Saccharomyces cerevisiae S288C: one gene and its partner. Each later gene encodes a partner of the first gene's protein in a complex. Each region holds a gene or a part of one and is shown on either strand. Other genes may lie near its edges. The genes, in order: NCB2 and BUR6.

Evidence for each region.
Region 2: NCB2 (region 1) and BUR6 share a complex: the UniProt entries of both Saccharomyces cerevisiae proteins name them as parts of the NC2 (negative cofactor 2) complex.

What each region holds. Positions count from the first base shown.
Region 1 is NC_001136.10:1,263,183-1,274,405, reverse strand, and holds NCB2 (negative cofactor 2 transcription regulator complex subunit NCB2), read left to right. Parts: upstream 1-7,507; coding exon 7,508-7,544; intron 7,545-7,636; coding exon 7,637-8,040; downstream 8,041-11,223. Other genes in the region: DIT2 (putative cytochrome P450), read left to right, coding at 703-2,172; URH1 (trifunctional uridine nucleosidase/nicotinamide riboside hydrolase/nicotinic acid riboside hydrolase), read right to left, coding at 2,321-3,343; HPT1 (hypoxanthine phosphoribosyltransferase), read right to left, coding at 3,673-4,338; UTP5 (Utp5p), read right to left, coding at 5,004-6,935; SXM1 (Sxm1p), read right to left, coding at 8,248-11,082. UniProt on the Saccharomyces cerevisiae protein: Component of the NC2 complex which represses RNA polymerase II transcription through binding to SPT15/TBP and thereby inhibiting the assembly of the preinitiation complex.
Region 2 is NC_001137.3:486,948-498,240, forward strand, and holds BUR6 (negative cofactor 2 transcription regulator complex subunit BUR6), read right to left. Parts: upstream 5,012-11,293; coding exon 4,583-5,011; downstream 1-4,582. Other genes in the region: Golgi transport complex subunit COG3, read left to right, coding at 1-246; YER158C (uncharacterized protein), read right to left, coding at 1,910-3,631; YER159C-A (gag protein), read right to left, coding at 9,855-11,177. UniProt on the Saccharomyces cerevisiae protein: Component of the NC2 complex which represses RNA polymerase II transcription through binding to SPT15/TBP and thereby inhibiting the assembly of the preinitiation complex.

The DNA of each region.
Region 1 (11,223 bases):
ATATACTGTCCACTGAAAGCAATGCAATCAAAATTCAAATAAACTCCTGAGGGGCCAATAATATAAGGATTTTTAGCACGCGACGTCTGGGATTGAGTGCCATGTATGTAAAGACGAGCAATTACTTTATGTTCCCTTATTTGTGAGGGGTTCCTGGTTTGCTTTTTTCGATCAATTCTCCTGATATTATTGAGTAAATTAGACAAATTGTTAGGAAACAACAAATTCCGATGCTTACTTACCCCTTAAATTTTCTCATTGCTCTTCATTGAGGTTGCATACCTCACCATATTTGTCATAGAAGGTCCCTTAAGGCGCCTTTTTATTTTTTCTTGGCAAGAGAACCCTTTTATTTATGGCCAGACGCGCGTCGCAAAAAAAGGTAAACATCAATAATTTTCCTTCCAGGGACTCTCAATAAAAAGACTGTAACTTGTATTATCAAATTGAGAAGCAATTACGTATTCCACCCCTCATTACTTCCCCGATACAATTTATTTTCACTTCTTTCGATGAATGCAGTGATTTCTATCTTTCCCGAAAATTACAAGCCACGGACCACAAGAGGAATGACTGGTCATCCTGATGCGAATAGTATATTAGGTAGTGCAAAAAAATACATTAATTTTCTTGAAATATTTTCGTTTTTTCAAAATGGTATTTGATTCAGACTAAGAGAATAAATCGAAAAAAGCATTAAAAATGGAGTTGTTAAAGCTTCTGTGTTTGATTTTATTTCTTACTCTTTCCTATGTCGCCTTTGCAATCATTGTCCCACCTCTAAACTTTCCCAAAAATATACCCACCATCCCATTTTATGTAGTATTTTTACCAGTAATATTTCCCATTGATCAAACGGAGCTATACGATCTTTATATTAGGGAATCAATGGAAAAATACGGTGCTGTAAAATTTTTCTTTGGTTCACGGTGGAATATTCTCGTTTCTCGTTCTGAGTATCTAGCACAAATATTCAAAGATGAAGATACTTTTGCGAAGAGCGGTAATCAAAAGAAAATCCCATACAGTGCTCTTGCCGCTTACACAGGGGACAATGTCATTAGCGCGTATGGTGCAGTTTGGAGAAACTACAGAAATGCTGTGACAAACGGGCTCCAACATTTTGACGATGCACCTATATTCAAAAATGCAAAAATTTTATGCACTTTGATAAAAAACAGACTCCTAGAAGGACAAACTTCGATCCCTATGGGACCTTTATCCCAGAGAATGGCATTGGATAACATTTCACAGGTTGCCCTTGGATTTGATTTTGGTGCTCTAACACATGAAAAAAATGCTTTCCACGAGCATTTGATTCGTATTAAAAAGCAAATATTTCATCCATTCTTTTTAACTTTTCCATTCCTTGATGTTCTTCCTATTCCTTCAAGAAAAAAAGCCTTCAAGGATGTTGTTAGTTTTAGAGAACTTCTCGTTAAAAGAGTTCAAGATGAATTAGTCAATAATTACAAATTTGAACAAACTACTTTTGCTGCCAGTGATCTAATTCGTGCTCACAATAACGAAATAATCGACTACAAACAGTTGACCGATAATATCGTCATTATCCTTGTCGCTGGCCATGAAAACCCGCAGTTGCTATTTAATAGTTCACTCTACCTTCTAGCCAAATATTCAAATGAATGGCAAGAGAAACTCAGGAAGGAAGTAAACGGCATCACTGATCCAAAAGGCTTAGCAGATTTACCCTTATTAAATGCTTTTCTCTTCGAAGTAGTAAGAATGTATCCTCCTTTGAGCACAATTATTAATAGATGTACTACCAAAACGTGCAAGTTGGGGGCGGAAATTGTTATACCCAAGGGCGTATATGTCGGGTACAACAACTTTGGAACCTCACACGATCCCAAAACTTGGGGCACAACAGCAGATGATTTTAAACCAGAAAGATGGGGTTCAGATATCGAAACCATAAGGAAAAACTGGAGAATGGCGAAAAACAGATGTGCTGTGACTGGGTTCCATGGAGGCCGAAGAGCATGCCTAGGGGAAAAACTAGCCCTAACAGAAATGAGAATTTCTTTGGCTGAAATGTTGAAACAGTTTCGATGGAGTCTTGACCCTGAATGGGAAGAAAAATTAACTCCCGCTGGGCCTCTTTGCCCTCTTAATTTAAAGTTAAAATTTAACGAGAATATAATGGAATAAATATAAAACATGTAGAATTGTATATATACGCATATATGTATACAATCGCGACAACTTTTAGTGAAACTTCTTTGTATCCAGTGAAAATGAAAGGAACAGAACCTGACCAAAGGTCAGTAGAAAAAAAAAAAGCCTTTTATAGAAGTTCTTATCCAATCGTTGACATTTTGTCTGCTCTATTTAATGCTTCAAAAATCTGATCCCAAAAGTACTGGATATTCAAATCGAGACCAATTATTGTACCAACATCACTGTCATTTGGATATTCTTTTTCAATGATAATTTTCCCTGAGTTTTCGTTGAAAACATCATCAATGCAGGATATGTCCATTCTCTTGTAGCGAAATCCAACCGCAGACGATGGATCCCACCCATAAAATTCCAAAAGCGGCATCAAAGCTACCGGATCATGTATAGGTGGGCCCGATTCAAATCCTTGCATATCCTTGTAGGTATGAGCAAAAAATTGAAAAAGCTCCAAAAACAATTCTCGTAACTTGCTGTTATTCTTTTCGTTGTATATCATTTCGTTAACCTTGTAAGTAGCTATGGCCTTGTGAGTTAAATTTAGAGGAACTACTATACATTTGTCCTTTACATCGGGATCACGGAATATGTAATTCGCTGCGTCAGGATCAATCCAAACGTTGAATTCAGCAGAAAGATTTGGGTTACAGTTTCCTAGACCATGGAGTCCACCCCCCATAATGCTAATATATTTGACAGATTTTTTTAGGTATGGTTTACACCTAAAAACTGTTGCTAATGTGGTAAGTGCACCAGTAGACACAAAGGATATCTCTCCATTGTTAGCTAGAATCGCCTCTTCAATGGCCTCAATATACGTTTTATCAGTTCTTGCCTCAAATGTTGGCTTAGGTAGCAAAGAAGTGCCGTCTAAACCTGATATACCATGAATGTCAGGAGCATAATGAGGTTCCCTTTTCCAAGGTCTCTGTGCGCCTTTATAAACTGGAATCGCTTGTGCTTTGCCCATCGCAGTCAAAAGAGAACGGGCGTTGTAGTCAGTATTCTCTGGCGGTGCGTTACCAAAACACGTGCTGATTCCTAGAAGATTGAAAGCTGGATGGAAACAGCCTAATAAAATGGCTATGGCATCATCATGACCAGGATCACAATCTAGCCATATGGGTATTTTACTAACAGTCATCTTTTCTTCAAACAGTCGCTGGTTATTGCTGTCCAACCCTTCCCCAACCTTGCAGATGAGGGAAATTATCTGTTTTAATAAGTTTCGTGAGGTAAAAAAATCAGCAGATTCCATCAAAAGTAGTTGTCACGTATGTGTCAAATATCGCGTTACGTGGTGGTGAACAGAGGGAAAACGTAATCGCGCCTCACAGGTTACCGGTGAGGCTAAGGGAATAAACTTTGAGATAATAATTAGTTATACGTATACATATGGTCGCAGTTATATGCGTTGTCTATTGTACAAATTCTGCTGTATGATTCAAGTTACTGAAGGATATGATATGTCTATCATTGCTTGTGTTCCTGCTCAGGAATAAAGATGTCATTGCCCTGTTCAATAGCCATTCTAGTATGGAAAACAATGTCAGTAGATTCCCATGGATATGCATACCACTTGTCTGGAACAGTTTTAGCTGCAAAATAACGGTTCTTGTCATTCAACATTTCGGCAGGCAAATCTGCTTTCTTTGGTTTTTGCTTATCGTGTAGAACAAAAATCCCGAAGTTTGTTTTCATCTCTGGAGACTTTTCAGTATCGATACCTTTAGCCTTTGCCTGTTCAGCTGCATCCTTTTCCAATTCACTCAAAGCGTAATGAAGTGTGGTACGGGTGTCATCGACTTCGTCAACGATAAGAACGTTCTTGCCGACTAGATCTAATTTACATTGCTCGTAATCAATCCATTGTGTTCTGCTAACCTTAACACCAACTTCCTCAACTTCTGAGCCTACACTGTTCAAATCTTCGTACAAAGACAAAATAATAGCAAAAATTCTGATGGTTGGCACGCCGGGCTCCTTTAGGAACGTACGTAGGATCCTAGCAGGAATGAAACCACCACCACCAATGGCAATGATTAAGTCCGGCTTGAAATTCTTAATTCTCTCAGCGGATACTTGACATAGTTGATGTACGTTGTTGTACGAGATGTATTGCTTATCGTTTGCCGACATTATGGGAACGTAATGGATATAATGAACACGAACGGTAATATAAAAATAAGAAAGATTACAAGGCACTACATCGTATTACTCCAGCTAGATGGAGACTAAAATAAAAAAGTTACGGCAAACCAAACTGCGAAGGGGGAACAAAATCTAACGGAAATTGGGCTTATCAAACATGTTTAAATAGAAAATTCTATAGCAGCTCATCGCTACCCGATTTGGGACAGATGGAGGGGGAAAAATTTTTTTTCCTTTTCTTTCCTAGTAAACGCGAAATATAGAGAAAAAAAATGAAAGAAGTCAGATAAGCGGAAATGATATTAATTGAAATTAATCTAATTAATTTTTTCAGAAGAAAAAAAAAATAAGTGACTCGGAAGGGAAATATGTACTGTCTTTTCTTAGTTAACCAACTATGGTTGTGACGTAAAAGTGGAGTGCTTGCTTGATGTTCCAGATGGCCTTACTGTTAACGATGCCAGATGCAGTTCAAAAAGGATAAACGATTGTGGGGGTCTTTTGACAGATCTTCTTCGCGTGGGATACTTTCGTGATCTTTTTTTTTCTTTTTTCTTTTCTTACATTATGTGGTGAACTCTATATAAGTATTTATGTGCCTAGAGATTATTTTTGTATTCTGATGCGTGAAAGCATTTTATGCATGATATCCTCTATTCCATCTCAACGTCACTATATCCGGCTTCCTCCTCGCCGTCGCTCTGCTCCGTTTCTAAACGGCCATCTTGCTTAGATGAGGTATGCTTCTGTTCCTCTTCGTTGTCACTATCACCTTCTTCTTCTTCTTCACTGCCATAAGATTCTTCACCGTCCTCTATAAGGCCGGCATCATCGAGTTCTTCGTTATATTCAACGTCGTCTTCGTCCTCTTCGACAACTGGTTCGGATGAGTGGATGTCGCCTGCTTCATAGTTCAAAGTTTTGAATTTATTTATAGTACAGTCTAACCTTGCATCCAGTGCTAGTAGCCTTGGTAATAAGTCGGAACGCCTTTTCAAGGTGGAATGTAACGACGATAGAGTAGACATCAAATTTGGAATAGAAACCAAATAGCCACCGTGTATGATTAAACACCATTTTACCCAAACATTCAATGGGCCTTGACGGTGGGTTTGTCTTGCAATCCTCTCTGCCAACCTTTCTAAGAGAATGACAGCCAGTGCTGGTTTCAGACGGAAGATAGTATCCCTAATGACCCTCTCGTCACGATTATTGAGCACTGTTTCCAACAGTGAATGATCATTTGATTGTAGTGCTTGCGACAGAATTACTGTTACCGTCCCGGTTGTCGTAGCAGTCTTGAGATTGGAACCTTTTAAATTTGTTTTTTTCCCACTAATCCTTGCGACGGTGCTTGATTCTAGCTTATCACCAAATGTTTCTGTTAATAGTTCATTGGCCTGTGGGGGCTTGGCCTGTTCTTGTTCCAAAGAAGTCAATTCTCTTTCCCAGCTCTTTATAGCGTCATCAACATGCTTGAAGTTATCTCCAGAGGTGACTCTTGCATTACCTTCCACGTAGTTGGTGGCTGAGGCAAGATCTTTACCGTGTAGATCGCGATCGGCGGACTTATTTTTATTATTCCAATTTAGGGAAATTTCGACGGTATATTCATTAGGGATTTCTCTCCACTGCAAGTTCTTGAAGTAAGGCATAGTAGCATTTTGTAACCACGATACGTTCAAAAGGTCTTTATTAATAAATGCGTTATAAATTGGAACTTTCCTGCCGTCTTTACTGACGATTTGAATCTTTTTGCTGGATTTTTTGGACTTGTTGCCTCTTTTCTTTGTTGAACTCGATACCAATGGATCAACAAAAATTTCCAAGCTACCATCCTCGGTAGTGACTGCGATAGAATCGGCTTGGCCTGAATGAGATAACTCCTTGATATCTGATTCAGCCACAAGGACGCATTTGGTCATACCGGAATGAATATCATATACGTTCAAGAATCTATCACCCTCTGCGCCTGATATGAAAAATTCATTAGTTATAACTTGCAATGTGGACACTGGAGATACATGACCGGGAAATGTCATTACGACTTTTTTCTCTTCGATGTCTATTAAAGAAATGGAATGGGATGCAACCAAAAGTTGTGCAACAGAATCGCCTGCTGGAACAATGGTTAGTTTATTCAATTGAACGCAGTTGTTTATTCTAAAATGTTGTAACAGTTTGAATTGTAACAGATCGAACTGATAGAATGCGTCGCTGGAGTCGATACACCACAGTTGATTACCCATCAAGTCTATGTCTTTGATTTCGTAAGAATTCCCCGTAGTGAATTTATAGGTGACTTCGTTGGCCAATACGGAATATAGCCAAATTTCACCGTTATTCATACCCAATATAATAGCCACTGTGTCGGAAGAAGCCAGGTTTACCCATTTTAAGCACGTCACCTTCAATTTCGAGTCCTCTAAATACAGAAAATTCTCATTCCACACTGTATCAACTCCGGAGGAAGTGGCCCTTTGAGTGGGCTGTACACCAACGCGTTGCTTGTCCAAAGCTACAGTGACATAACACAAATACTGACCTGATGGGTCATAAGCGGACTGTAGAACAGGAGAATCCATCGGTAATGAACAATTATAAGGCAAATGTGTCTTTTACCCTCTTGCTAAGCCAAGTTTAAACTATATATGCTCTGCATCTATCTTTACATACATATATCCTATCCAATACTTGTTAATTTTTTCACCTCATCGCTTCAGCTGCGAAAGATTAGAAAAAGAAATGAAAAAAAATTGGATAAAATTTTTTTGTCAAGAAGCTCATCCCCGTGTTAAATGACAATCAAAGAATAAGGGGAACTGTACAACACGTTCAACCAAAACTATTGTAAAGAAATGCCACCACTATGCAGCATAGCCTGTTCATGCGAATAGTCGCCGCAAAAATTACGATCTGGTTTAATCAGCTCGGGCTCTTATCTTTGGCGTATTCCAGTATGTGCAATTAACTCTTGCACCACTTTAAAACGCCCAGCCCGCTGCACTCTCCCTCCTATATAAATGGAAGCGGTTTTTGGTCGCGCTTTTCGCCCTCTGCTCGCCTTGTCGATTTCTATCGTGCAGAGTTACCAGTATAAGGTGGGCAAGAAATCATAACGATATTTACTAATACAGTTGTACCTATTAATTAATTGATGGCTGGAGACTCCGATAATGTGTCGCTTCCCAAGGGTATGTTAGTTATATTGTTGTTGCAAAACTCAAGCTTTGATGCGGGTACTGAGCGGTTATACTAACTTAGAGAAAACACTGAATGATCTTAGCGACCGTACAAAAGATGATATCTGAAATACTGGACCAGGATTTGATGTTTACCAAGGATGCAAGAGAAATCATCATCAACTCCGGCATAGAATTCATAATGATCCTGTCCTCGATGGCTTCCGAAATGGCGGACAACGAGGCTAAGAAAACCATAGCGCCCGAGCACGTGATCAAAGCGCTAGAAGAGTTGGAGTATAATGAGTTTATACCATTCTTAGAGGAAATATTATTGAATTTTAAGGGTTCCCAGAAGGTGAAAGAAACTAGGGATTCCAAGTTCAAGAAGTCAGGTCTCTCGGAAGAAGAGCTGCTACGACAACAAGAGGAGTTGTTTAGACAGTCAAGGTCCAGATTACACCACAATAGTGTATCTGATCCGGTTAAGTCGGAGGATTCTTCTTGAATAGAAGCTTCTAAACAAAGTAATGCTATATACGAAAATAAACCACATGGGAATATGTTAAGCGCATGCATGTATGTAATAAAAACGAAGACAAGTCCAAAAAAAAAAAAGAACGAAAAAGAAACAACTTTTATATTTGTATATTAGAGTATAAACTAATATCCTTATTTCAAACTATCACATTCCACTATTTTTTTTGTGTTCTCCTCAGTGTTGAGAAACAAATTCCAGAATTACCTGCAAGGAATCTCTCTTAGATTCATCCAGATAATTTATGATTTTTTCGTACTTACCGGCATCTTCGTTTTGCAAATTCTTGAAAAAGGTATGTACTTCCTGGAAAACATTAATTTGGTCTAACACTGTCTCCTTCATATCATCATCACATTCGATAAAGTATTCTTCTTCTTCTTCTGGGGTCAGGTCTCCTTCTAAGGATTTGCCCTCGGTAACAGCATCACGGTTTCTAATTGCCTTTGGCAATGATAATGTCAATTCCACCAGTTTATTGGTCAGGTTATTTAGTAGTGGGCTGACACTATTAGGAACTTCAGGCATCTTCAAAAGGGTTAAAATGACCAGGACTTGTAATTTGATGGCGAAGACACTGTAGAACTTTTCATTAAACCAATTGGTAAAGAAATTTATAGTAAAACCTTCATTTTCCATTATTTGTAAAGTTTCGATTGGTTTAGCAAACAAATTGGCCAGTCCCAGTTTAACGATGCATTTAGAGTCCAATCCTAGCTCATCATTAGTGGATACTTTGATGGCTTTGCTGAATAATGGAATGTCTCTCATGGACAGTGCGAAGTACATTAGAATTTGCATAACATGCTCGATGTCGTAGTCAACTTCACTTTCCAGTTTAGCAGAGAGAATTTCTAGCAGAGGTTGAACATAAGTTTGATCTTGTGGGAAGCCGGTCATCACGATGGTTTCAAAAAAAATACTGTAGGCCTCAAAATAGTCCATGGCATAAGTTTGGAAAGAATCCAATATATCATGTAACAACTCCCATATTGGTGGTGCAATTTGGTTATAAAGCAGATGCGAAGAAATAGTTAAAGCATCCAGTAAGTCGACAGCTTCCGTAATAAAAGAAATTTGTGCATGAAGTACAACAAACTTGACCACGGGAGCTAAGGACTCGATTAATGGAACTTTATTCATTGACATGACCATAGTAGTCATTGTTTGTAACAATCCACTGGCCTGGATTTCCTGCTCTTGGTCACTTGCGCTGTAGGTTTCCGATGGATTTTCTACCAATGCTTGAGCAATACGTAAAAATTGTTCGACTAGGTTTGAAGCTAAATCTTTAGCAAATGGGGATAGTTCATCTGAAAATCTCTCCACCAATGCTTCCATGACTTCAGATAAGATATCGATTTCAAAGATTTTAGACAATTTCAATAGCTTTTCCATCATACCTGGAACATGAGCAGAGACCGCTGGGTGGATTTGAGGATTGGATACAATTAAACATTTAATGGCATCTGCGGCCTCAATTTGGACTGGTAAAACGTTACTGTTTAAGAAGTTGGTATATGTTAACTCAAATAATTGTGACAATATGTTCATATCTTTAAATTCTTCCGAATACAGCGCTATCGTTTCCAAACTTCTTGCAACCAAAAACATGTACTTATCCTGCGATAACAATGGCACGATGAAGTGTCCAAAAATATTCTCCAGAACGGATGGCTCATCTATAAACGAAAACAAGTTAGACAATGTTCTCAAAGCACCCTCTTCTTTAAATGCCATGTTAATATCACTGGAATTGGCATCGAATCTAGTAAAAATATCATTAATGAACGGTAAAATATTGTTCAGTTTCTCAGGACGTTTGGACCCAATCAAGAATATGAAATCTGCTGAAGCAGCATCTGGCGTAGAGCCTTCTCTGTTAATGTCAAAATAACGCCTGGTATATTCCTCTTGGTCATCTTCTAATAATTCGATGGATTGTTCATTAGCACACAAACATGGGAAGATGACGTTCTCAAAAATAATTTGTAAATGTGGCTCAATTAAAGGATAAAGTTGATCTATTGTAACACATTTCTCTAGGAATGAAATTAAGAAATACAAAGAGGAATCGGATAACCATAGTGAATTATTACCCCAAGCTTCAATATCCTTAAAAAATTCTCGAAGAATTATAGGAACAATAGTATTGAAGATATAGTCGATAAATTCCTTGGTGATGGCCTTTGTAATTTTGTTGTATCTTTGCAGGAATCTGTTTAAGTTACCGAACCCCCATTTGTTCACTTTAACCCTTTTGTCTAGGGACCTATCTGCGGGATCCAGTTCCATTACTTCGACTGGTAATGGTTTGGAACATAAATACAAATGTAGTTGCACCCATGACATAATTCTTTCAGGTTGGCTGAAGTATTGAGGCAAGTTGTTCAAACATGCATACTTGAATGACTTCAAAATGAGGTACAATATTTCATTAGATCTGTAATCCGTTTGACTACCGATATTAGAAGCTATCCCTTCCACAATAGGGAAAAGTTCTTCGATAACAGAATCAATATAATCTCTCGACCCAACCATGTCCCACCTATGAGCTTTACAAAGTTGGAACAGTAGTAGTAACCCGGGATAAATGTACGATGCGTCACCGCTCGATAATAAATTCTTGATAATAGGTGCTAAATCCCAATCTTCCTGACCAACAAGTATCCCATTTATGGTTTCAGTCAGGATAGGCCTAATGTGGTTATTTTCACAGTTTTTAACTAAAGTCTCGATTAACCTTTCCTTGATCGAAAGCTTTTCGTCAGCTTTTATACCATCTTCTCTCTTAGTATCCCATGATCTGTGAATCTTATTCTTCAAATAAATAGCAGAAGAAAGACGAACATTTAGCGCAAAATTATCATCAGACACTATATTAAGCAGAAAAGAAGTAAACCCAGGTTGCTTCTGGAACTCAAATAACTGCTGTTCTGCCTCTTTGATAATTTTTGCATCAGCAACCATAGTCTGCTCAATGCAGCTCAAAATTGCCTGTTCTTGTACCATTTCCTTTTTTGATTTATCTCCTTTGTTGTAGACGGGCGCAATGTTAAATGTTTATGACACAAATCGAATAGCAAATCTACACTGGGATGAAGCAGAGACTGCGTACTTGATATTTTGGTTGTACTTTATTGATTGAGATAC
Region 2 (11,293 bases), on another chromosome or scaffold:
TATGAACAGATATTGAACTATATCGATGATCAAGAGATTGTTACTAATTTATTAGACGCTGTGCAAGAGTTAATTACACAATCATATTCCAAATATTATGAAACTATAACTGAATTGGCAGAAAATGGAAAGTTTGCTAAGGATCAAGTCGCAGACGTAATGTACTTGGACGTCTTCACAGATTTTTTTGCCAAAGAGGTGGCGGATCTTTTAAGAAATGGTGATATTGATACCATAACGAAATAAACTTATGTGTAATTTCAACTTTTTCTATAATTTTCATGCATACATAAATCTGATATCGAAATAAAAATTACATTACACGGTAAAAAAAATGTTTTCAAAGCTTTTGATCGTAAGCGATTGAAAAAATATAACGAATACTCCGATACGGGGAGTCGAACCCCGGTCTCCACGGTGAAAGCGTGATGTGATAGCCGTTACACTATATCGGATTAAATTCATGAATTTTTTAGGGCTCCGAATATTGTAAATTCGTTAACAATTCAAGCAACTCATTTAAACAAGTAATCAATAAAGTCAAAATATATAAACAAATTAAGATCGCTGCCAAAGTAGTGATCAACCAAGAGACATTAAGGTTGTTATCTCGTGGACCACAACGCACCTAGATGCATGCAAACATAACAACAGTGGAATTCATTTGTTAGATTTGAATTTGCCTTAACATTGCGGTTCGTAAGTTTTCTAGGTGACAGATACCGGAGAAAGGTGAATCGAACTGTATCGTAATGTACTACTACTTACTCATATTTTTGGTTCAGTGGGATTTATTGACGTTAAGCTCACTTTTATCATCCTAGTTCAATGTAAAGATTTATGAGATTATTTAAAGAAGTTTTCAAAGTATTTGTATGATTAATAGTGTTGGAATAAAAATCAACTATCATCTACTAACTAGTATTTACGTTACTAGTATATTATCATATACGGTGTTAGAAGATGACGCAAATGATGAGAAATAGTCATCTAAATTAGTGGAAGCTGAAACGCAAGGATTGATAATGTAATAGGATCAATGAATATTAACATATAAAACGATGATAATAATATTTATAGAATTGTGTAGAATTGCAGATTCCCTTTTATGGATTCCTAAATCCTAGAGGAGAACTTCTAGTATATCTACATACCTAATATTATAGCCTTAATCACAATGGAATCCCAACAATTACATCAAAATCCACATTCTCTACAAATAGCCCTTCACCTTACATTGCACCACTGGTTGAACAGTCCATTTTTAAATCTCTCCCATTTTGTTATTGGTATAATGGGGCATGTAAACCTGTACGAGATCCCCAGAAATTACGATGTAAATACCTACATTGGTATTACAGTTTTTTATGTGAATTAAAATTTATCATCTTAAGATTATTACCACAGCACTATATTCTGAACATTATTCGAAATGATATAATTCAAATATTCCCTATCAGTATGTCCATAGGCGATAAAAATGTGATTAAGTAATTTTCGAGCCCCCGCGTTAAGCAAGCATCCATCAATAAAAACTTCATTAACACTCTTAGATAATCACTGTAAAAAATTCTAATTATCGGTTAAGGTTATAAAGTTAGGTAGCTGGTAAAAAAGCGATTGATCTCAGACATATCTTTTAAATGTTAAAACTCATCGCTCTTCAGGGAAATCTTACGCGCTATTTTTACAGTCGCGCGGGTCTTAACCATAATTTTTTACCGCTGCAAATATTTGAATGCTATAAGAGCAGATAAAAAATAGATTATAGAAATTAACCTGTTAAAACAATTATCCAAAATGTAGTAAGTATTTATCTTACGTAAAAAGTTCGATGCATATAAAATAAAATAGAATATATAAAGAGATACAACAGAGTCTCAAGAAGGAAAAAAGCTTGATGAACCCGTTATAAGTAGTAATGTGTATACTTAGCGCTATCCTGGTGAACGCGCATTTCCTTTCTTTTGAACTCATTCACCTCCATTTTGATTTCAATATTGGATATATTTTTTGTGGATGAGAGATTATTACCGACAAAAGTAGAAGGATTGGTAATGTCTTGGCTCTTTCCTTTAAAGAAATTATTCAAAAAGGTATTATCACACCTGCAATAGTCCGCGGCGGACCACGTATCGTTTACATAAATCTCATCCGCAAAGCGTAAGGATTTGACGGCATTTTTAGATTTCGATGACCCTGAAGAAGGGGCAGGTGTTGGCGAAGAAGATATGGATTGCATTGGTCCACGGGAAACCAACGATGACGAGGACGAAGAAGAAGGAGCCGGCGATGATATTGAAGAGTTTATGAACGAAGAGTTCGCAGCATCAGTAGTGGTAGAGAGAGAAGATGGCACAGAAGCAGTCAAAGGCAATTTGTTTAAATACACGGTAGACCATTCATCCTGCAAACGCTTTAAGAAAACGGTGCTCTTTTCCTCTGGAGCAATATCTTCATTAGACGAATCTTGACTACAGTAGTATAACTTTGTAGTTCGTTTATCAGACAGTGTAGGTCTGTTTGGTGACCTAGGGGGTGGAAGAACTGGTATCCTGTTATTATCTCCGAGTGCTGTCAATTCTTGTACTATGCCAGAGTCCTTAATTGAAGGTACAGCCGTTTCGTGATTGTTAACGGTTGAAAAACTCTGTTTTATAATTTCAACCGGTTGGTCAAGGGACGTTATCGGTTCTGGTACAACTCTCTCCGGATTTTTCCTTTTCTGCTTTGTTTTGCTATTCTCTTCTACGGAATCTGCAGAATTTGATGACTTGGACGACCAGATTTTCCTGAAGAAACGAGATATCTTTTTAGAATTTGATCTAATTGCCTTTGGAGACTCGGATTCAGATTTCTGATTAGCATCAGCAGCTTTCGTTTGTTGAGGAGAACGATTGTTCGTGCCAGTGGCAATGGAATCGTTATCTGCGGAAGATGGGCCTCCAGTCTGGGTCAAAGGCAACGATGAACTAGAAGGAGAGTCGGGAAAAGTCGAAGATGGCGGAAGCCTTGCTATCTGGTTTCTTGGCGTGAAATTTTCACCGTTGGGGAATTGAAAAGCGCTTTTCATCTGCTTTCTTTGTAATTGGAAAGGAGTAAGTTCCTTCCTAACACGTGGATTAGAATAGGTAGGCGGGGATGATCGGAGACTGTAGCGACTACCAGAGTACTTTTCGGGAATGGTCATTAAGGAGTGGCGTCTGGACGGGTTTGGTCTACAACGATATTGCGGGTGCGCATTGTGATCACTGGTAGTATGGTTGTTCATGTTCATGTTCATGTTCATGTTCATGTTCATATTCATATTCATATTCATATTCATGTTATCGTAGCGAGAGGGGCGATTTCTAGTTGAAGGCAGAGATGAAGTCGAGGAGGAAGCAAAGTTAGGTTTATTGTACTGGCGCATCGGTGCGCCATTACCATTATTGTCTGATCTATTAGCCACCAGAGTAGAGTGCCTCCTTGAGACGGTAGCATCCGGTATGTAGAACAGATCAATCGTAGACGCAGATCTAGCGTCCACAGCCCTAGGAATACTCAAAGAGTCTCTCCTTGAAGGAGAAGTGAGCGTGTGAAAATCATTACCATGCAAACTCCTCCTCGAGGAAGAACCCTGCTGTAACATGCTGATTAAGAGTGAGTGGAAGTAGTAGCGAGCGGTGGTGGCTATGTGTTTAGCCTGGTAAAATGAATCCTATTGTGTCAGCACGGAAAAAACAACAATAGCAATAATATGACAATAAACAAGTATTTTGCCGTAGCTCTCCTTCAGTTATTTGATGATGAGTGTAAACAGATTACTGTATATAGAGCAGTAGTAAAGAAAGCTGAAGTCAAGTGCAGATGAAAGACAAATACAAAAGGAGTACGCCTGTATTATATTTCCAAGTGCGTAATTTTGAGGTATTAATATTAAGTAATTATCAGAAGCAAGAAGCCAACAACCAGACCGCTTGGGCTTAAACTAGCATATCAGCACAATCTGCAAGTATACATTTCTTTGGTGTCTCGAACGCAACGCGGTGCAAACCGCGAGAACCTTAACGATTTTTCACACTCCTTCCTCCGTTGCTGCAAGAATCCTCGAGCTAGCCCTTCGTCCGCTTCCTTTGGCACTTGAAAGAAAAAATTAGCTTTTCTTTTTCCTCCTTTCTTTTTGTCTTTCTGGTGTAGGCACAGTTGGAAGGATGGGACACCTAAAAATCTTATTTAAGAAGTCACAGACGGTAACGCAGCGCCTCGTTTCTAAATCGTATAGCAGGCTGAGCGCCCGCACACCCACCTGCGGGAGTTACTCCGGGGATCGTATGGGGTGATGCATGCTCTTTCGTAAACCTTAAGAATAGCGTTAATTTTTTCCTAAATAGGAATACACATACTCATGCTATGTAACTGTAGAGAAAGGTACAGATTACATGAGGCGCCGGTTGTCGTTGATACATATGTGATTACGTTTCGTCCTTGATAATAGAGTATAATATATATGTGCAGACATATATAGATATAAATACATTGGTATATGGATATATATAGATGTGGTATTCATTTTACACTAAGTTACATCGCCCCGTTCTGCTCAGGCACTCTCTTCCTCCGGTTGTGTTTGGCCTTCTTCTACGCATAGACCTTCCCTTAAGAAATCGAATTTTTCGTCGTTTAAAATTGTTTTTTTTAGTATTTCGGCGGTTATTCTCTTGGTTCCTTGTCCTCTTGCCATCTCCCCGCTTTTTTTCACCAATAACGCTATAAAAAACTCTAGGGACCTGCCCGCTATTACGGGCGTGGCTTGTGAAACTTTTCCTATATCCTCGTCTGTCTGCATTATTTTCTTTACCTTGGCCGGAGGGAAGTGTGTCTTTATTCTGTCGAATACATCACCTAGCTCGTTGTTGTTATTCGAGTTGGTACCCATGTTACCTACTGGACTCCCTCCAGCATCAAGTGGTACCTCATGTTCAGGTTTTATTGGTGGTAGTTGTGTTGTAACTGGTACTTGATCTGCCATTAAGAATGTAGTGATGAGTACTGTAACTGGTTTTATTTTTTTTTTTGAATTTTTATTTTCGTGACGTGCTTTTTTTTCCGTTTTTGGTTTTAATGCCCCAAAATAAAATAATCCCCTTTTGTATACGTTTTTCTTTGCCTGCCTTTTTATTTCTCAGTGCATTGCCCTTTCTTTCGCAAATTCATGTGTTTTAAGGGTAATAGGAAATATCACGCTACCTGACAAAAAAAAAAAAAATTAATTTTGGCCTGGAAAATTCTTCTCCTTAAATACAAAAAGATTCTTTTTTATAGAATGTCATAATTCACGAACAGTTAAAAAAATATAAACACACAACGTAACACAGATGCCGGGTTACGATATCCGAAAAAGTTGATTAAAAGAAAAATAATCCTTCCCCGCCAGGACTTGAACCTGGAATCTTCTGGTTCGTAGCCAGACGCCGTGACCATTGGGCCACGAGGAATAGGATGTTCAGTGTGTTGTATTACGGGCTCGAGTAATACCGGAGTGTCTTGACAATCCTAATATAAACAGTCTTAGGGAAGTAACCAGTTGTCAAAACAGTTTATCAGATTAATTCACGGAATGTTACTTATCTTATATATTATATAAAATATGAATCATACTAAGTGGTGGAAGCGCGGAATCTCGGATCTAAACTAATTGTTCAGGCATTTATACTTTTGGGTAGTTCAGCTAGGGAAGGACGGGTTTTGTCTCATGTTGTTCGTTTTTCAATCCTTGCGTTTCAGCTTCCTCTAACATCGATGACAGCTTCTCATAACTTATGTCATCATCTTAACACCGTATATGATAATATATTGATAATATAACTATTAGTTGATAGACGATAGTGGATTTTTATTCCAACATACCACCCATAATGTAATAGATCTAATGAATCCATTTGTTTGTTAATAGTTTGAATGTTTTTATCGGAAGAGGTTTGGTCATTACGTCTGCAATATTCTTTTTGGTTTCGATATAGCATACGTGCAGATGATTTCCTGATACTTCATCTCTTAGTCTCATTGCTTTAGTACCAAAAAATCTGTTTCTAAATTTCTCTTCATTATTGGATATAATTATACTGATTGTAGATTTACTGTCGGTTAGTAATCCTTTAGTAATTGGTTTCTTGTTAAGTTCTTGCACAAGGTGACTGAGGTTATTTAATAATGGGACAGATTCACTTATCGCGTGTATTTCTGCTTCCGTAGTTGAAGTACATGTTAATGAAGCCTTGGTGGACTTTCCTCCAATTACTTTTCCATTAAGTAAATATATGTTGCCAATTTGTGATTTATAATACGGTTGGTTACCATACGATGCATCGCTTATAACAACTAATTTATTTGTTGGCTTAACAGGTTTGCTTTTGTGCCATATTAATTGCTTATCTCTCGTATTCCATATGAACTGTATCAATTCATATGTCATATCTAACACTTGCTTGGACGGAAATAGTATATGTTGTGCAAGTGTGTTGATGTAGTATAATAGGTCAAATCTAAATTTATATCCAACATATGATGCTAGACCTATCAGCTTTTGCATTTCATGTACCTTCATTTTGTAATCATCTTCTTCTAGCTCTAGTTCTTGCTGGTCTATATATAGACCTGGTTGACCTGGAGCGCTAAGTTTCCTTCCTTTTGGGTTCAAAGGTACGTTTAGTTTGGGTATTTTTTCAGTTAATGAGTTTTCCATACCTAATTTCATGTATTTACCTCTTTGATATTTGATTTCTAAGCCAAGTATGTCGTACTGAATTTCGTTATCACTTTCACCCAGATTTATTATCTTTGTATCGTATTGTTTCTTGAGTGTTGTTATGATTTTCTTATTTGCATTTAAGTCTTTGCTGAACAATATCATATCATCAACGAATAAGCAAATTGTTACTTGACTATTCTTAAATACGCATGACCATCCACGAACTTCTTCCATACCACACTGTTTTATCAGGTATGATTTGATAGTTTCGTACCAGTTCGCTCCACTTTGTTTCAATCCATAAAGTGATTTCTTCAAACGTATTAACTTATCATTCATTCCTAAATGTGGTGGAGGTCTTATGTATAGTTCTTCTTTGATGTCTGCATACAAATATGCCGAAGATATGTCTAATTGTGTAATATAGTAGTTATTGTCTAATGCAAGTGACAGGGATGTCATTAATGCATAGTGATGTACGGTATTGGATTGCATGCCTGGGTCGTAAGTGTCAGGATGTTGAATATCACCTCTTGCAACAAATCTAGCTTTATGAGTACCGTCACGTTTCCTGTTAAAGATAAACATTGAATTTATTACTCTTTTGGGGTCTATTTCTTTTCTGTCATAATATCTGTCAGTGTCCCAAGTTTTCATCTTCAACAGTTGATTGACTTCTTTGTGGTATGCCTGGATATATTTTTCTTTTTCTTTAATATCTTTATTATAGGTGATTGCCTCATCGTATCGTAAGGTTGTTCGTATTGGTTTGATTGATTTTACTGCTTTTACAGCTGCAATCAGGTGAATTCGTTTCTTCGATCTCGGAGGTTCTAAACTACGCATATTCTTAGTATTCCATGTGTCTCGTGATACCTTAATTTCAGTTTCATTATCTTCTAATGATCTTTTCTTACTGTTGATAGTAGTATAGGCATTAGAGTCACCAATACCACCCAAACTGGAATTAGTTTGATGAGAATTTATCGGTGGGAGTTCTTTAAAGGAGTCTGATAATTCGGTAGGAGGTTCTGGAGGCAGATCGGGGAGTGGAAGATCAGCGATAATAGATTCCTCTGTATTCTCCTTAGGACAGGTATCTGACGTTTTGATAGGAACGACGTGGTGTAGTGAATTACTTTCTGATGAGGAAGTATCGATCGAAGGTGAACGGTGTATGATCCTTTTCTCAGTCTCCTGTTCGCTTGTCTGCGGAACAGTTTTATTATTGGTACCACCCGTACTGGATATTGGTACGTTTGTATGATTAGTCTCATTGTCACTGTACGAGTCTGAGTGTCTGAAATCTTTAGATTTACTGGCGTGCGACGACTCATGTGTGTTAGATTGGGACATGGGAGCAAGTAAAGGAACATCTAATCTATGCATACCACCCGAACCGGTACTCTCGATATCGGAAATTTGGGGGGTGCTAGATCTCTTCTTAGATGGAAGAATATTAGATTCAGATATGTTGGGGTCAACTTCTCTGGGTGCGCGAATATTGGTTTTGGAAACACGTTTCGAATCTTCAGTATGAGTTGACGGAGGTGTGGAATCGGTTGGACTCACAGCTTTTGAAAGGACATTTCTCAGTTGCTCAGGATGTAGTTCAATGTCAGATTGGAAGTCATGGTCAGATTCTATGTTAAGATCATTGGATTGTTGGATCTCATTTGACGCAATGAACGAATGATATGAAGCAGTTAAACGGTTTAAGTCTTCATCGAAAGTGAGTGCGTCGTAATTGAATTGATCTAATCTGGATTCCTTGCCCTGAAGAATAACATAGTTAGTTGTATCTACTGTCTTCTTTAAGGACGGAAGATAGATGATATATCCATAAGAGTTTCGAGACGGATGTAGAGCGTAGCCTGGGATGCCACGAGGATGTATTTTGGAGTTAGGGTTGTGATCATTGACGATAACAGGTTGACCGAAAGGTAACAAAGTACTGATATCAAGTCCTGCCAAGCCAGCATGTTGTCTTGCAGATTTTTTGCTTTTAGGTGAAGCTAGTGAATTTCTCACAATAGTAGAAAATTCGATTGCAGAGAACCATAAATGGTTCGGTAAACCACTACATTGCAGTTGAGTACGGCAGTCATCTAATAAGGTACGGTTGAGCCGTTCAGCGACTCCATGTGCTCGGGAATCCGCTGTGGTTGTATAGCATGGAGTTATACCATTTTTTTCAAGGAATTTATGGAGAGTTCTGTTAGTATACTCAGAACCACGGTCCATTTGTATAACCAAGACACTGGCCTGAAACTGGTTTTTAATAAAAGCTAGTATCGTAGTAAAAACATCGAGGATAGAGTCCTCGCGACGGTCGTGTAATGGATAAACCCAACGGAATTTTGTTGTCTCATCAGTAAATGAGATGAAATAGGATGGTGCACTTTTTGGTAGGTTGTGAACTGGACCAAATATGTCAGTATGTAGGTATTGAAAGGGTTCGTATGAATTTTGGTATTTTAGTCGTGAACCTTTGATATGTCTGTGTTTGGTGCTTTTGCCGATTAAACAATCAGGACATTGATAGTCAATAGCACTAGACCAGTCGACATCTGATTCGTTAAAATACGTGATGGTGTTATTTTTAAGTGAGTATCGAATTGTCTGTGCATTGGCATGTGCAAGCATTCGATGAATGAAAGGATAAGGATATTTGCGTGTACTTTCACTTGTATGGACATTATTGATGGTGGGTACGGAGATATTTGATGGAAGCAAGTACTTTTTAGATACCCAGTAAAAGTCTCCATATTTTACGATAGGTGCAAGTACAGTGCCGTCAGACCGTTCTAAGACGTTTTTGGTAAAGCATGCTGTGATATCTACTGCAGCCAATTCATTCAAACTGAGTAAGTCATAGGCTATGTTAGGAGTGTGCAATACCTTTATTGATGTTTTGGTGTTGTCCTGGAAGTGAAATTGTAGGTCACCAATAGCGTTAATTGGTATATTTCTTTTTTGAGCATCAACTACGTTTATGTCAGGATTAGATGATGCTGAGTGTATGTGATGAGCAGATCTTATAAGGGTTCGTGATGCTCCTGAATCGAGAAGGAGGTGTCCAGGGAGTTCATCATCAGAATGATTAGTATGATTTACTGTAGATTCAGTAAGTTTCTGGCCTAAGATGAAGGTCGTGCTTATTGTTCAATTGAATCGGTTCAGTAGTTGATTTACTGATGGAATCGTTGTCCGTGCTGGGAGAGTTATTAGATGTGGATACATTGTGAGCCCTGGCTGTTTTCGATTTCGAATTATTTGTTTTTTGAGGATTCCGAGCTATAACTTTGGGTTTGGTTGTATTCGTATAGCTGCGAGAATCATTCTTCTCATCACTCGGATTTCTCCTGTAATTAGGTTTGCTGTTTCTCGATCCCTGTTGTTCTTCATAAATAGCATGGATATCTAAGAACAGTTCAGCGACTGTCATATTTAGATGTCGATGACGTGTGTAGCGTAAAAATTTATATTCGCCAGATAGACCTCTCATAATTAATTGGCATGCGACCTTGTTATTGATATGAATGCCATTATTGTTCAGTCTGTCGATAATGTTTGTGACTTTTGTTTCAAATGCATCTGCAGGTGTACTGCCATTATATTGCAAATTTGCCAGGGTCACAATGTCGTTTGCCTCTTGGGTATCAGATTGCATTTTTTCAATACTTTTGGAAAGAATTTTCATGATATCCGTATAATCAACGGATAGGATGTCTTTGACCCAGGTAGGTAGGAATTGAGAGGGAGCAAATATTTGAAAAGTGTTATACAAGAAGGTGAGTTCATCATCAGTGATCTGACGTACGGGTTTTCCGTTTACTGTCGGAATAATACCACCGAGATTCGAGTTTTGTAAAAATTTGATGTATGTTTTAACCCAATTTGGAAAATCATTAGGTGAGGTTAACATTGGTGGTGGTCTGACATATTTTTTAGTGGATGTCATATCAGAGTCCGCTGAGGATGAATCAGTAAATGTATTACCTGACTCAGGTGATGGAGTGCTCAGAGGCGTTCCAACTGATGATGGATACTGCGGAAACTGTGATTGTGGCCCAGGTGGAAAGTACATAGGCGACATTTGATAAGGTGTATACGGAATCATAGATGGGTGTCCGTAAAATGACCAACCAGATGGATTGGCTTGGTTTTGGGTCATCATGCACTGCTGTGGGTACGGCCCATTCTGTGGAGGTGGTACTGAAGCAGGTTGAGGAGAGGCATGATGGGGGTTCTCTGGAACAGCTGATGAAGCAGGTGTTGTTGTCTGTTGAGAGTTAGCCTTAGTGGAAGCCTTATCATATTCTTGAATTTTGGAAGCTGAAACGTCTAACGGATCTTGATTTGTGTGGACTTCCTTAGAAGTAACCGAAGCACAGGCGCTACCATGAGATATATGTGGGTAATTAGATAATTGTTGGGATTCCATTGTTGATAAAGGCTATAATATTAGGTATACAGAATATACTAGAAGTTCTCCTCGAGGATATAGGAATCCTCAAAATGGGATCTATATTTCTACATACTAATATTACGATTATTCCT